Drosophila melanogaster: one gene and its partners. The protein of the gene in region 1 purifies or fractionates together with the protein of each later gene. This does not show direct contact. Each region holds a gene or a part of one and is shown on either strand. Other genes may lie near its edges.

Evidence for each region. Proteins that work in one complex are often made in the same cells at the same time.
Region 2: the proteins of ecd (region 1) and CG4849 purify together in Drosophila melanogaster (affinity purification with mass spectrometry; 2 studies listed by BioGRID, with this or other methods). This does not show direct contact.
Region 3: the proteins of ecd (region 1) and Prp8 purify together in Drosophila melanogaster (affinity purification with mass spectrometry; 2 studies listed by BioGRID, with this or other methods). This does not show direct contact.

The regions. Positions count from the first base shown.
Region 1 is NT_037436.4:2,262,955-2,267,713, forward strand, and holds ecd (ecdysoneless), read right to left. Parts: upstream 2,904-4,759; 5' UTR 2,822-2,903; coding exon 2,542-2,821; intron 2,469-2,541; coding exon 694-2,468; 3' UTR 627-693; downstream 1-626. Other genes in the region: CG13807 (uncharacterized protein), read left to right, coding at 19-340, 402-592; CG13806 (uncharacterized protein), read left to right, coding at 3,548-3,577, 3,650-4,513. UniProt on the Drosophila melanogaster protein: Required in both the follicle cells and the germline for oocyte development.
Region 2 is NT_033777.3:27,961,470-27,967,458, reverse strand, and holds CG4849 (uncharacterized protein), read right to left. Parts: upstream 4,045-5,989; 5' UTR 3,906-4,044; intron 3,780-3,905; 5' UTR 3,772-3,779; coding exon 3,658-3,771; intron 3,598-3,657; coding exon 2,929-3,597; intron 2,871-2,928; coding exon 2,779-2,870; intron 2,720-2,778; coding exon 2,528-2,719; intron 2,475-2,527; coding exon 972-2,474; intron 907-971; coding exon 549-906; 3' UTR 501-548; downstream 1-500. Other genes in the region: betaTub97EF (beta-Tubulin at 97EF), read left to right, coding at 1-190, 258-353; CG31131 (uncharacterized protein), read left to right, coding at 4,279-5,418.
Region 3 is NT_033778.4:12,159,999-12,164,952, forward strand, and holds the start of Prp8 (pre-mRNA processing factor 8), read right to left. Parts: upstream 3,001-4,954; 5' UTR 2,887-3,000; intron 2,714-2,886; 5' UTR 2,696-2,713; coding exon 2,082-2,695; intron 2,026-2,081; coding exon 1,810-2,025; intron 1,750-1,809; coding exon 1,537-1,749; intron 1,475-1,536; coding exon 1,349-1,474; intron 1,306-1,348; exon of another isoform or gene 1,128-1,305; intron 1,069-1,127; coding exon 649-1,068; intron 591-648; coding exon 373-590; intron 316-372; coding exon 1-315. Other genes in the region: CG13177 (uncharacterized protein), read left to right, coding at 3,794-3,802, 3,864-3,923, 3,986-4,189.

The sequences.
Region 1 (4,759 bases):
TGTATAAATACCGAAACAATGGTGGATCCCAACCGAAAGATAAACCGTCTGGTCGAAAGGGACCTGAACTTCCTGGAGTCCTGCGAGCTTGAGTTCGCAGACCGCTTCACTGACGACGACCCAGAGTTCATGGCGCACTGCAGCAAGCCTGTGCCGGAGCCGCCAATTGTGGAGAACTGGATGGGAGGTGGCGGAGGAGGAGGCGGCTTCCAGGGCGGAGGAGGCGGTGGTCATCCCTACCACAATCGCTACAACGGACATCGCAGAGGAGGCGGCGACAGGGGCTGGCAGCGACGAGGAGGAGCTGGCTACCACAACAACCAGGACAGGGGATTCAGGGGTAATACCCGGGAAGAAGCTCAGTTTCTATTTATAGCTTACCAACGCATTTGTTCCCACAGACAACCGGCGCAACAACAGATACGATCACATCGATCGCCGGAATCGGTACGAAGGAGGCGGAGGGTCCGGAGGATCTGGAGGCTACAAGCGCTCCCATGATCATAACCAGAGAAATGATACTCCCAATAACGAACCACCCATGAAGGTCAGACGCGACTATGGAAACTTTGTGCCTGCATCCAAGGATTAGTTATCGAATATATCAAATAAGAATACTCTGCATTACATTGAAATATTCACATTGACGTTTATTTAATGGACTTAAGACTATACTAATTCCTGTAATCCCGCTTAAACGGCCGACTCAGATATATCCTTTTGTTCCTTGTCCTCGACAGCCGACATGCCCACGCCCATGGCGCTAAACAGATTGGATACAGGACCTGCGCCGCCAACCTGCGATTGGTAGCTATCCATCATGTTGCGCAGCGTGTTTACGTTTATATTGATGGGCTCAAAGTCCTCAATGTCATCGAAATCGTCCTCGTCCGCCTGTGGAGCTGTCTTCTTCTTGCCGTGGAAGGACTTGCCCACGCTGGTCTGAGCCAACTCGCGGTCCATCTGCTCCATATACGATTGAATCTGTCGATCGAGTGGGAACACACTGCCGCCTCCAGAAAGTGCATTTAGATTACTCTCCATGTCGTCCTCGTCCGCGTAGTCGCTCATCTCCGAGGTGGAGTCCCAGTTGTCCTCGGGTATTACGAAATCCAGGAAATTCCGCACATGGGTGCTGTCCGGTTCCTCCGGCTGGATGACGGAATTGCGCTGGCACGCCTTGCGCATGGAGGGATTCTTCTTGACCTTTGCTGTCAGTCCTGTGGAACCGTTTGCCTGCGGCGGCGGCTCGTCATCGTCTGAGTCCAGTTCTGGCTCCTCGAGCCCTCGGTGCTCAATGCCCTCGTAGTTGGACTGCCGATCTAAGAACTCCGCCAGCTGCTTGGTGAACTCCTCGGCATTCATTTGTCCGTTCGGCTTGTAGAGCTTCTTGGGTCCGTAGCGATCCTGCAGCATGGAGTCTAGATCCTCAGCGCTGATATTCAACCACTCATCCGAGTCGCTGGGCTGCAGGTTGTTCTCCTCATCGCGCAGCTCCTCGGAAGCAGCCTCCGCTGGATGGAGCAACAGGTCGAGGATCTCGGCACCCGCTCTGGAGGCTGTGCGGAAACGCTCCTGGTTGCCACGAAAGTACACCTTGGCCTTGTTCAGCAGCTCCTGGTACTCGGCACTGCCCTCGATGTTGTCCCGGAAGTAGCCCTTGCTCAGCAAGCTCCGCAGATACGATCGCCAGGCAGGAAGGTCCTCCAGCTGTTGGCCCTCAACCCGCTTGGCTTGAGTGGCCAGGATCTCCAGTCCACTGGCCAGCTTCAAGCCCAATAGTTGTTCCTTATATCGTTCCGGCTCGGATACAGGATCCGTGAGATGCCAGCCGAGTCTCTTCTCGGGCAGATACTGCTGGTGCGACAACATGGCGTACAGACAGCGGGTGAAACGCACGTTGGTGCGCACGCGTGTGGCCTCCGGTGGGAAATATCGCATGGTGCGAAGTGCCTTGATGTCCAGCGAGTCCCGCTCGCAGAAAGCCCTAACCGCCGAGGAGAGCAGCCTTGGCTTCTGTTTCAGAAGCTGTGCAGCGCTATGCGGGAGCTCCAGCACCTGGCGATGAATGGAGAAGTGCGGCTGAGCGATCTGGTACTCCTTAAGCCGCGCGTCAATGCACGACTGTATCTCCTGCGAGCAGCGGTACAGGGTGGGATTCATTCGTATACGTTGCACAGCCATGGCCATGGTCAGTGGCTTGTCCTGGCTGCTGGCGGCGGAGTTCTGGAGAAGCTGCAGGTGACCACCGACCAGATAAACGCGCTGCTCGCACGTTTCCGGAGACGCCCAGTCGGGCAGGGCGTCCGCCGCCTCGATGAGCAGGAACTCGCCATCCGAATCGCTCACCCGTGCAATGCAGTCGCCGCGTGCACGTGTGATCTCCGTGAGCAGATAGACAACGAACCACTCGTCGCTGATGTTGTCGCCATAGTGGGTTACGCCGTGGAAGTGCGGTGGGAGGTCGCCTGGGCGGGGACATGGAAATGGATGATTTCGAATTGCAGAAACAAAGCTATTTATAGCACATTGTGCGCATACCCAGTTCCGCCTCCTCCTCCGGGTTTGTCTCCTCGTTCAGCAGGCGCTCCTCGGCGCCGCCCAGCCTCACCTGAAGCTGAAACTCGTCCTTGTGCCACAGATAGCTGCGCTCTAAGGACTTTTCCCTTACAATGGCCGAGATCTCGTTGCGGATCTGAAGCATCAGTTTGCGCAGCGCGCCCTCATCCTGTACGTTGTCGGGGATCTTGGGAAAGATGTAGTACTCCACGAAGTCCTCCTCGCGGACGAACTCCAGATTGCTGCCTGGAATCTTGCTCATCCTTTGTCCTTTTGCTCCTCCTCCTTTTTTTTATTTGTTAGGGCGTTCGAGGTGACACTATCGACATGAGTGCGTGCTTCCGAACTGACTATCGTTCAAAGAAGTTCGTTCACACTGGTCGCGCAGCAGGGTTCCGCTTCAGCAGAGCGGTGGAGGACGTGGCTAAGCGCTTAGCGGTGACCCAACCCATTCCCGTTATTTCTCTCAGCGATTTTTTATGATTGAAGATTAGGTATGAACCGAAGATTAGGCATTAAATTCCTTTACTAAAAGTGCATATTTACAAAAGCTAGCGGTCAGTTTTATTGAAAGAAATGGTATTTAAATATTTACTCGAGAGCACTTTAAAGTGCTCTGAATAAGTCGGCCAAACAAAATCCCGACTTGTTTACACATTAAACACCCACTCCACTTGACACTCCAGCTAGTTGGACCAATTTTTAGTAAATGTCGTTCACTCACCCATCATTGCGGCATTCCGATCCGCGTAGTTGTTGTAATTAGAAACGCCGCTGCGTTTGCCACTTTGCCCAACTCCCATCGCCTTTTCAAAGTTGATAGATAGACAAACAGACACCCAAAAGATATAAAACGCTATCTAAAGTCTGCTATTTCGGGACTTTTATTGCTGTCACCATATGAGTCTGAATCAGACAATCGAAGATTCTCGTGGAAGTTGGACCTAAACTAACCAGAAACAAAGTCCAAAAGGGGAAATACATCGTCATGTTCTTGGAAAGAATACTAGTGAGCGTGGTAGGTAGTTTTTCAGAATAGGATAAACTTAAGTGAATGGCATTTGATTTTTATGTCCCCACCGCCCAACAGTTACTGCTCAACCTGGTGGCTCTGCTTATGGGAGCCACTGTTACCACCCGGCGCATCCAGCCGCGGGAGACAAACTCCTGCGAGGGCCGTCAGAGTCCCGGGCCCATCTGCGAGTCCTGCGAGCTGCTGGCCACCTGCGTGCGTCACTCCAACGGATGGGTGAACATTCCCGTGGAATCGTGCGACGTGGCTAATGGATACTACTGCAACGCCCGGCTGGGGAGCTGCACCAACGAGACGGGCCCGTGTCATCCGTTCGGCATCGAGGGCAACTTTCAGTGCACCTCGCAAGGCATCTTTCCAGATCCGTACGACTGCCAGAAGTACCACATGTGCTACTTCGTGGGGGCCACTCTGGTGGCTGCTGCCGTTGATTGCGGCAACGACAAGGCCTTCGATGCGACGACTGGCCAGTGCACTTTGACCCTGACTGACTCCGTCTGCCTGCAGCGACAGTACTACTGCCCCAATGCCGGACACGTGGCCGCCTGGCCCACCAATCCCAATATCTTCTACGTGTGCAAGTCGACGGTTAACCAGAACCTGAACGACACCATCGTCATCTACCCCTCGCTGCACAGGTGCAACGATGGCGAGACCTTCGTGGACTACGTCTGCCGCAGCGGATCGAATGTCCTGCCGCCCAGCACCGATGATCCTTCGGTGATCATCGAGGATCCCAACGACGACGACTTTTCGGTGCTGCCCAACACCTGTCAGCACGTGGGCTTGATGGCCGATGGAAACGACTGCCGGAAGTACTACTACTGCTCGGCTCTAAATGGCACCCTGCGGCACATGGACTGCCCCAATGGGACTTACTACCGACCGGAGCTATCCTCCTGCGTCCTGGGAAGCTGCTGAGGAAGATGCATTCCTGCACTTTATTTATTCCTCTTCAATGGATTACATTTAATAAACAACTCATGTTTACCCTGGAATAACAATCTATTTGACATGAATTTATGAATTCCCATTTCAAAAGGTATCAGTTTGATAATAAAGATTCAACCACCATGTCCGTGGGTAATTAAACCAGAATGAGTTCTTTGTTTTTTTCCAATAAAAGTGCAATAGAAATGGACTAGTACTGTCTTGGTTCTTTCTTGC
Region 2 (5,989 bases), on another chromosome or scaffold:
GTCCGCCACCTTCATTGGCAACTCGACCGCCATCCAGGAGATCTTTAAGCGCATCTCCGAGCAGTTCACTGCCATGTTCCGGCGCAAGGCCTTCTTGCACTGGTACACCGGCGAGGGCATGGACGAGATGGAGTTCACCGAGGCCGAGAGCAACATGAACGATCTGATATCCGAGTACCAACAGTACCAGGTTAGCGATCCCTCCATATCCTTGCAAAGTATCTCTAAAAACGATTTCCATTGGTTTCCTCCTTTAGGAGGCTACCGCCGACGACGAAGTGGAGTTCGATGACGAGCAGGCCGAGCAGGAAGGCTACGAGTCGGAGGTCCTGCAGAACGGCAATGGCGAGTAAAGTCCTAGAAACTATCACAACTGTAGCTGTTTTCTGTATACTATTTTGTAAATTATTTGTCCCGAAAAGGCTTCAAATAAATATTTAGTAAATATAGTAAAAAAAAACACTACTCCCTTTAAAGTTCGCAATTGAAATTCGGAAAGTATGTCTAAATGTTTTATTTGTTTTCCCGATTCCTGATTTGTGGGAAGTCTAAAGCGGGTAGTTGATCAGCACATCCTGGCGTGCCAACTCCAGCAACATAGGATCGTCGAAGAATTTGTTGATGGACACGTCCTCGGACAGACCCTTCCTGCGACGCGTCTTGATCATAAACTCTCTGGCCAAATGGGATGCTTGCTGCGGCTCCAGTGGCCGGATTATGATGCTCTTGTCCAGGGGATCGCCAGGCACTATCTGCCAGTGATGGAACACCGAAAGGCAGAAGGCCTGGCCCTGGGTGTGCGTGCGGAGATCCGTCTCAAATCCAAATGAATCAATGGCGGGTATGAAGGCTTTGATCGTATATATGGGAGAACCCGATACGGGAGCATCCTGCGTTACGTGGCCTCTGCAAAATAGATTATATAAAATTTAGAGGCATTCTCTTACGGAAACATGAGCAGCAAAACTTACCTGCGCCTGGCCAGCACAGTATAGACAGCGGATACACAATCTGCCGGCGCCTGAACCTCCACAAATAGATATGGTTCCATTAAACGTGGGGTGGCCATCAAAAACGCCGAGTATGCCACACGACGGGCTGTTGGAATGATCTGTCCACCGCCTCGATGCAACGCCTCGTTGGCGATGACGCCATCGAGAATCTTAAACTTGACATTACGGATTGGCTCCTCGCACAGCGGCCCTTCTCGCGTTCCCCATTGGAAGCCCTGCACAATCGAATCCTTAACCGCGGTCAGCAGGTTCTTGTCCACTTCCGAGGGCAGGGTGTCGTCGACCAGGATATTTGGACCCGTGGAGTCGGGACCGAAGGCCCAAATGGAACGCGCCGCAAGCAGATCCCAATCGTAGTTGACTTGGAAGAACTCGCCGATGCGCTTTTTGTTCCAGTTTATGCAGACGGTTCCGTTCTCAATGTCCTCGGCCAGTCCCTTCTCCAGTGGCTCCGAGATCATGGTTATTTTGTTTTTCTTATTCGGCGTTTCGGCGAAACATTTCAGGGAACTCGTTTCCACAACTGTTTCGCAAAAAGCCACGACGGGATCCGCCACTTTGATGTCGATCTCGGAGTACATCTTCCGCAGATCGTGCATGACACAATCCAAGTACAGCTCGCCAGTGCCCAGAATAACATGCTCGCCGGATTCTTCAACTCGAGTGGAGAGAAGTGGATAGGATTTATTCACCTTGCGGAGGCCATCCAACATCTTGGGAAGCTCGGATGGATTCACTGGCTCCACAGCAATCTTGATAATGCTCTGGGTGTTGAACTTCAGTGGTCGGAATATGTAGAGGTCTTCTGGAACATTAATATCCACAATTGTGGAGGTCTTAACGATACACTGATCGATGCCTTCGATGAGCACCCAATTTCCGGCGGGTACACGATTTAACTCCACCTTGTAACGAGACTCAAATACCCACAGACGACCGACTTGCAGAATGCGAGAGTCCTCCTCATCCTGCAAGGTGTAGTTCTCTCCCAGGACACGCACCTCCTGGCCAGCGTGTAGAGTACCAGAGACAATCCTCGCCAGCACTTGGAAGAAGGTACAGTCGTCGTTGGGATACATCTTGGAACTGTGCACCATCAGAGTGCCGTATTGGTTGCATGATATCATATCCCGGTAAATGTCACCCTCTTTGGGTCCAGTGTATATATGGTCCACCTTTCGCTTGGCATTTTCCAAAGGGGATTTAATGTGCTCCACGCACATATCCACAAAACCGCTGCAGTCGCCCATGAAGCGGTTACAGACGAGACGCAGCAGTGGTCTTATATTGGACTTCATCTCCTCCTTGGAGACGCGCACATTCAGCTCGGCCAGAGTGTCCGACAAAGTGGTGTCCACATCGCCAACCACCTGGGCTATCAGCTTGTACATGGGCTCCAAAATGAACTCCACAAAGCTGCGCTGTGCCGAATTGTGCGGCTGCTTCTTCGAGAACTTGCGCCTATTAAAATAGTTGGTATTAGCAAATGATTTGGATATTTAGGCAGCACTTACGTTTTACTGTTGAAGTACATGTCACCCCAGAGCCGCTTGGCAAAGTCCAGGTAAGCCACTCCCTCATAGGTGTCTGCATACAGCTTGGCAAAGGATTTCAGAGTGAAACAAAATCCGTACAACGAGCTGGCGAAGCACACGTTGCCCAAAATAGGCGAAACTAAGAGATTGTCATCTGGAGCGCCATAGGTGCTGTAAGAAAATTACACATTAGTAAAATCATTAGTGTTGAGTATGAATCACGTAATCACCTCAGCAGCCCATTGACTTCCTCCACAATGTGTTTCAACTTAAAGTAGGCGTCCTGGGGCGGCAATTTCAGCTCCAGGATGAGGCGATCAATCTGCACGTCAGAGGAAACCATTAGAAAGTTTAGTGTCACCTTAAGGCCAAACCCTCACCTTGTTTATGCAAACGGTGATAGCCTGGCGCTCTTGCACCGCGTGCTTGAGCAGTCGCTCCGTGTTGAGCATGACGCCCTCGGCGGCATCGATGAACAGCACGACACCATCGCTCATTCGCATGGCGGCGGTGGCCTCGTCCGAGAAGTTGACATGCCCCGGGGTGTCGAAGATGTTCAGCAAGTAGCTCTTCTGTTTGACATCCTGCAGGACAAGTGTGACCGGCGTGGCCTTGATGCTGCAGCCGCGTTCCTGTTCCGTGAACAGGGTGTCCGTGTAGCGCAACTGGCGCTCCTCCATGGTCTCAAATTGCGGATGCGTCTGCCGGATGAGGCAGTCGACAAAGGTGGTCTTGCCGTGGTGCAGGTGGCCAACCAAAGCCACGTTGCGAATAAGCGGCGGAGTGTCCATGAGATCGGCCATGAACTCCATGTCGTAGGTGGTCTCCTGCATGTCTTGCTCCTTGATCTGGAACTTGAGCTTCTTCACTGGCTCTATAAGCGGCTTGTCCAGCGGCTGGGCGTCCTCCTCCTGGACAATGGTCTCCACATCCGGGCCGTAGACCTCAACTGCTGACGGATAGTAGCGTTTGTCCTCGTGCAAAACCACGGCGGTCACCTCCTTGTCCTCGTCCTCCTGTGGCTCCACCTCGTCCTCGTCCATGGCGTCCTTTAAATGAAACACCATAAATTAATTATAAGTTTTATTTTATTTTTTGCACGTTTATACCTCTGGGTCATCCTGCACATCGGGTTGCCCATAAATACTTTGCTCATCTTCCTCGTCGCTGTCTAAATCGGGGCCAATATAGTTGCCAAACTCATCGTACAAATCGGAATCCATGGTTTTTCCTAAAATAAATATATATATCAATACTTTCATTCAAAATTTGCCGGTGGCGTCTTAGAAAATTTAAAACTTTCACGGTGACTCGAAACTTATGCTACTCTTGTTTTTTGTTGTTTTTACCGACTTACCAATTGTTACAGGACCTTCTGATTGCTAAATTCTTCTTTAAAACGTAAGAAAACTGCAAATAATATAATTATTCACAATTTTTACACAAAAACGCGGACTGCAAACACGCTGTTCTTCTTCTTCCCCGAAAAACACTCAGCTGTTAAGCGGCCGGCATTACCTACGGCATTGCCAGCACAAATAAAGTAAGCGCTTGCAGCCCTGGCGGCAACATTTGAATTTTCCAGTTCATTAGGGCTAATTAACGTTTTTGCCAAGAAAGCAGGTAGCTAAAATACGCGTTGAAACGTAGGTAGACCCTTGCGTTTATATTGCACTGCAGTCGCCAAAGGTAATTAGTCGAAAGTGTCAACCGAAGGTATCAGCATCATAATGAGAAAATTCTGTTTGCTTCTTTTAATGGCGCATTTTGTGGCCTCAAGCCGAAATTTAAACGATATTCTCGGTCGCGAGGAGTGGATTAGCATAGCCAAGGAATACATCAAGAACCACAAGCCTTACAAAGCCAAAATCTACACACCCTACAAGCCGCGCATCGTAAATTTTACCAATCCGTTCGATGGAGATTTTTGGGACACAACTACGGTGGCCACCAATCCGCAGGAGACTACTGGCTACTTCACTGGGGAAGTATCTACTACAACGGAGAAAAGTGCCACTGAGGAATCTACAACTACGGCGGTGGATTATTCAACCACCGAATCTAGTTATGTAACTTCAACCACGGATACTTTATATTCCACGACAACAGCTTGGCCGGAAGTCACCAGCACAGATGCTATAGATGCCACTGAATCAGTAGCCCTATATTCCACAACAACTTCGAGTCCAGAAGCTGCAGATTCAACGACAGAAAGCAATTCAGACAGTACTGAATATGCTGAATCAACGTTAATTTATCCAGATTTATCTACAGGATGGCAAGAAACTACTACAGAAACCATTCAGAGCTCTACAGGATTGCAGGAATCAACAACAACAGAGTTTATGCCAAGTACTACGGAATTTCCGGAATCAACGACTACTTTAAGTTCTGAATTTTCAGAGAAAGAACTAATAAAAACTACCACAGAAATAGAAATCAATCCAAGCACTACAGAATTGCCGGAATCAACGACTGAATCTGCTGATTCTACCACAGAACCGAACGAATCCACGTTTGCATTATCCACAGATCAAACTACAACTGAAACAGCAGAAACTTCAACAGAAGAATTGTTTTCAACCACAGAAACCCAGGAATCTACTACATCCTTGCTGGAAATCATTGCCACGACTCCGGGCGTGGAAACTACCACGTCGTATCTGGATGCAGTGATTGACAGCACCGAAGAGGAAAGTTCTACATTATCAACACCATTTGGATTTAATTTAACAACAACGGAAATAGTAGAAACTCAAGTAGAAACCACAACACCAAGGCAATTGAATTTCGTCGAAGATTACGTTCGCCAGAGACCGAGAAAATTGAAGTACTCTTCGGACACGGAGCCGGAACTTTACTGGTACTGAAAATGATTGCAAATAAAAATTAAGAGTTTGATTAAAAATTTTTAGAAGCAAAAATTAAGAGTTTTAATTTAAATAAAAACGTAAAGCAATTGGCAACGCGATTTAAGCTATGGCTTATTTTAAACTAAGAAACGCGGTCACACTGGCCAAAAGCCAAACACATTGTTGTTTGATTTTTCAGCAGAAATTTTTTATTTTTTATTAGTTTATATCGTAAACATGAGTTTGTCCAGCATAAAACAGAAAGAAGCTAAGGGCAAAAAGAAATTGCTGCCCAAACTGCGCAATATTCTAGCCAATCCTTACAAACAGCACAGGTGAGGCGGGCAGAAACCAATAAAAACCCAATCAACAGGTTGTTTCTTTTGACTTTAGCCCTCTTTTATCGGAGGAGGAAGTGCAGCAGTTCCGTCAGATCCTTCAGAATGCAATTAAAAGCAGCGACGGGCAGACCAAATCGTTTGCCACTCGATACGGAATACATCTCGGCCTGGAGAGCTCCCTACGCGCCATAAACTCGCGGCGTTTCTCCTGCCTATTGGTTTCCTTGAGCCTGCGACCAACTCACCTC
Region 3 (4,954 bases), on another chromosome or scaffold:
GTAGCGGAGTGATGCCGCGCATAAAGAACAGCCAGACTCGCCATCCAGGTGCCCAAAAGCCACATCCGGGTCCCTTGCCCACGGGCCCCGTGTTGAAGCGATAGTATATCAAATGTTTCAGATCCTTACACATTCGAATCTGCCTCATCAGCTTGTATTTATAGCGATACATGCCAGTCAGCTGGCCAACATGGGCGAATATGTACTGCAGTCCGTCAGCCAACTGAAAGGCGTCCACATTGTTTAGCCGATACTGAACATGAGAGTCAATGATTAGCTTGGTCAGACGCAGGATCTCACGGCACAAATGGAAAGCTAATAGGAATGAAAGGAATTGATAAAAGGGAAATTTTTAGAAATTTAACTGCTTACCATTTCCGAATCGCGACTTCTTACGCTCCTTGGTGGTCAGAGTTTTAACGGGCTTCAAGTTGAAATTGTAATCTAAATGCAAGTAGTTAAGATTTTTTCGGTGAATCAATAGATTCAACATGTTATATCCCTGACGACAAACTTGCAGTCCAGCCTCAACCCAATCCAGAGTTGTGGTCTGGAAGAATTTTGTGGCCTTAAACGAACGGAAGAGGTAGCTGCAAAGTAAGGATACAATTCAAAACGTTTCTATAGTTTGATTTAAATAAAACTCACCGTTTCTTTTGTGGCTTTGGTTTGCGGTGTTTTAGGGCATTGAGCACATAGTATTTGAGCAGTTTCTGGTAGCTAACGCGCACCTTAACCGGATGGCCAGGTGGACAATGCTCCTTGTACCAGCACTTGACCAGCGGCACATCGATGGCACGACGGGAGCGACCAGAGCGCATGTTAAAGGGGCGGGGTGCCCACAGCAAGGCGATTCCGTTTGCAGTGTTGTCAGTGTACAGGGGAGTGTCCTGCAGGAACGGCTGCACGTCGTCCGGAAGAGTAAAGTCCTCGTCGTCATCAGGTAGGGGCTCCTGAATCTTCGAGTTTGCATTGCGATGGGATATGGGATTGATGAGCGGATCAAAGTAAAATGCAGGCAGATCGGGATCTTCGGTCTTGATGTAGACCACGTTGGGAGTGTGATACCTGAAATAGACAAAGTACATCATGTGGTCATGTGGATCCTCTAAGCTACAAATGAGTTTATATGTATGCAACTATCAGCAGTCACGATTAATTCTTAACAATCGCCACGAACATATTCATTGCAGCTCCCGTTTTATCGCAAATTTGGCAGTAACCTGGGAGCTCGTCGTTTTTCTAACGCGGCATGAAGCATTTCCAGAGAGGCTGATCACTTGGAAACGTTTCTAACCACGTAAATAAGATTTTAGAATGGTAATTTTTGAAGAATGTGGACTCTTACCAGCTCAAATGCACAAAGTGTGGCATATTGTTGTACAAGTAAGGAAAGGCAATGCGGTATTCCGTGCGAATTGGCTGCCGGATAATGACTTTGTTAATGTCATTGAACTCGTTCCAATCCTCGTCCCTAAAATTAAATAAAAGCAGGAATTACATTTTAACAAGTATTTAGGGTATGCATTGTCTTACCCAACATTGTGGTCCTTAATGAGGGGTTCAAACTTAGGTCCTCCTGGAATGGCCATATTAAGAGCCTTGGCGGTGAAGAAACTTTTTGGGTCAAACAAATAAAAGAAGTTATTGTCGACTAGATCGGTGAGCAATTGATTGGCCAATCGATACAGCGTGGCTAGCTGAGGCAGGGAAAGATTCCACTTTCGGTAGGTAGTGCCGTTCACAAACCTTAGATGGTAATAAATGAATCAAAACAAGATCAGATATAAATGACAAATCAAAACTCACTGTGTATCCACTAGAGGACGATGGTCATAAAACCATTTGTATACAGCATTGTCTTCGTCATTGTCCAGCTCAATTTGAATGGCCTCCAAGGGCTCCACGTCCAGCACGTTGTCGGCATAGTCTAGAGGCGGCTCTTCATCGTCAAATGGCGGGAATCTCATGCGCTTAAAGTGGCGACGATCGCGTTTCTCACGCCGCATCATGATCCACATTGTACTGCGGAAGTGTTTAACGTCAGTTGTGTCCACGAGGACAAGTTAAAGTCAACTTACCCCCATTGTGCTATGTAGACGGGCTCAATAACCCAGGGAATCTCATTGACAAAGGTAATGGCTCCAGTGATGTGGTACAGCACCTGGACATCCCGGATCTGCTCCCATGGCATTGGCATGTTCTCTAGCAGCTTGAGCACAGCATGTGGCATGTACTTCAGGGCGCCGAGATATACTCGCTTGTCATGACGATACTTGCGCGACGTCATATCTCCGTGATCGCGAATGATCTTCCTGATGTGCTCCGGCGGCATATCCTCCTTCTGGGTATCCACGAAGCCAAACTTGCGCTTCTCAGCGAATCGCTTGGACTGCAGATGCTGCCATTTAAGCGCCTTCTCCTGCAGCTTCTCCTCGGTGAGTATGTCCGGCTTGGGCGTGGGAATCTGGCCCAATCCGGGTCCCTGACCTCCCACCGGGATGGGTATACCGTTGGTATGGCCACCGGCCGGCGGCAGCGGAGCCCCCGGTGGCGGAATCTGCTGAATTTGGTTGGCCATCTGCTGCTGGGCGTGCAGTTGAGCCTGCTGAGCATGGGCAGCCGCGTAGGCCTGCTGGGCCATCAGCTGGGCTGCCCACGCATTTTGTGGTATCATGTACGGCGGAATGGACATCGTTCCGCGGCACTTATCCTAATCAATAAACGACGAAAAACATACACTTTACGACACACAGACACGTTTTGTTTCAGGGGGAGAAATCGAAATGCCGCCGCCGACGTCGCGGTCTTTTGCAATTTTCACCACGCTGTGAAAAAGCGTAAATTTCGCTTTTCCCCCAGCTAATCTTGGTTTGAATATCTTACCTGGCAGTTAATTTGCAACTGTACTGCCTATTTGGCACTTTTTCTGCCTTTCTTTGGCCGCAATTCACAATTTTTCCGGTTCGCAAAACGAGAGGTTTACTTTTTCATGCGGCAGCCATTTATAGAATAGTAGAACGGTCACATCACTCAATCGATAAGACATCTATCGTCTATCGAGAGATTAGGTGAATTGCTAAACAGTCTAGTGGTAAAAAGCAGTCAAGATAACCACACAAAGTGCGAGCAAATTTGAAAATTTAAATAACGGTGTTATTGGGGAATATATTACAAATTCACCAAAACTGCGACGACTAAAACTAATTAGCCTTATTCACTTAAATTACTTTGTATTGTAGTAGTAAAAAATATCGAGACATTAGCATTTTTAATTAAGGCTAAATCCTTGTAATTAAATCAATGAATCAGCTCGTCAACAAATGTGTTAATATTAATAATTAGGAACTTAATTAGTGTAGTGCGTCAATATTATTGTTGATGACTGGTAAAAATAAGAACACACAGTCGACTTTAGCTAACAACAAACCGAATAAATAAAACACTAAATAACTTTTTCTTTGGCCATTAACTAATGCTCACTGTAGCTTAGAAATTCAAATAACCGAATTGGAAGATCCCATCGAGTCATCTGTGATAATGAAACACCTCATTTCGCATCGGGTAACGACATCCCCAGACTCCCGAATGTTTGTCCAATCAATGATCATGTGCAAAATCGATCCCCGGGACGTTTTGGGCCACTATAAATATTGTCGGCAGGTCGCTGGGGATCACAGTTTACGGACAACAACGCTTCTGGCCAGAACACGATCGGGAAAAGTTGCTAATTTGAGAGAAAAACATAAAATCTAGAGTGCATCCCCGTTAAATTTCGCAAATAAAAGCAACAATGGCAAAGGTATTACACACAAACAAAAAGTGTTTCTATCATAATGAGTAAATGTTGTGAACATTTTCAGTTATTTTCCATCCTTTTGTGCCTGGCTATTATCGGATTCATCAGCGCAGCTCCTATAGAGGTAGGTCATATCTTTAGTTTTTCCATTTCAAAACCAACCAACAAAATCCATTCGCTTGGCAGGACAAGAAACCCGCTGAGGAGGCTGATCTCTCCACCGCGGACTCCATTGGCTACGGCTACTATGCAGCTCCATCGCCAATTTACTACGGCGGCTATGGAGGTGGCTACAAGTACGGCGGATATTCCGGTTACGGCGGCTACGGCGGATATCGCTCCTACGGAGGCGGATTCTATCGTCCCCGAATTTACCCAGTTTGGGGATAATACTATGATGCCAGACCGAAAAACGTTCCTTAAGCAAGAAGTTTCAGACATATGGACATACGTTCCTTAATCCACAAAATCCTATGTAATCGCACTAGTGACCAAAGAAGTTATACAAGCAAGCCCCCCAGTTTTGAAATTTTAACCCTTTCACTGTCTTGCAACGACGAGTTGATGACGTCAGCGGCAGTTTTTGACCCCAGAGCACAATTAACACCGGCTTTATTGCAATAAAAACAAAACAAAAACAAAAAACACTTTACGTACGACTACGCTCGCATGTGTGGTTTATTATTTTCAAATTTCAATTGTCCAAAACCGGATTTCTTTTTTGTTTTTTGAACTTCCAAAGAAATTGAGGCGGCTAACGTAACATACATAAGCCGGCCAGCAAAATTCCGAGTTGGCCAAGTCGAGTAATTACACACATCTGAACCTTTAGTTGGACCTATCTTTAACGATCCACATGGCCAAATTTCAGGCCATAAACGGGGTCACAAGAAAGCTGGTCTATACAATGGATATCAGCCAGAAGTTTATATAGTATATAACTCTTTGTAAAATTTCAAAAGAAAACCATACTATAGAAGTTAGTTATTGCGGCCATAAACTATTTAAAACTCATAATTCTCTGAAATACTACCTGTTTTTCAACTTAAAATCCAAGTTAAATGCATTTCCTACATCAAGTGTTCCAAATTATTAAAAGTTGAAGCTGCTTGTGGATATTAATATCATTTATGAAATGTGTGTTTATTTGGTCAT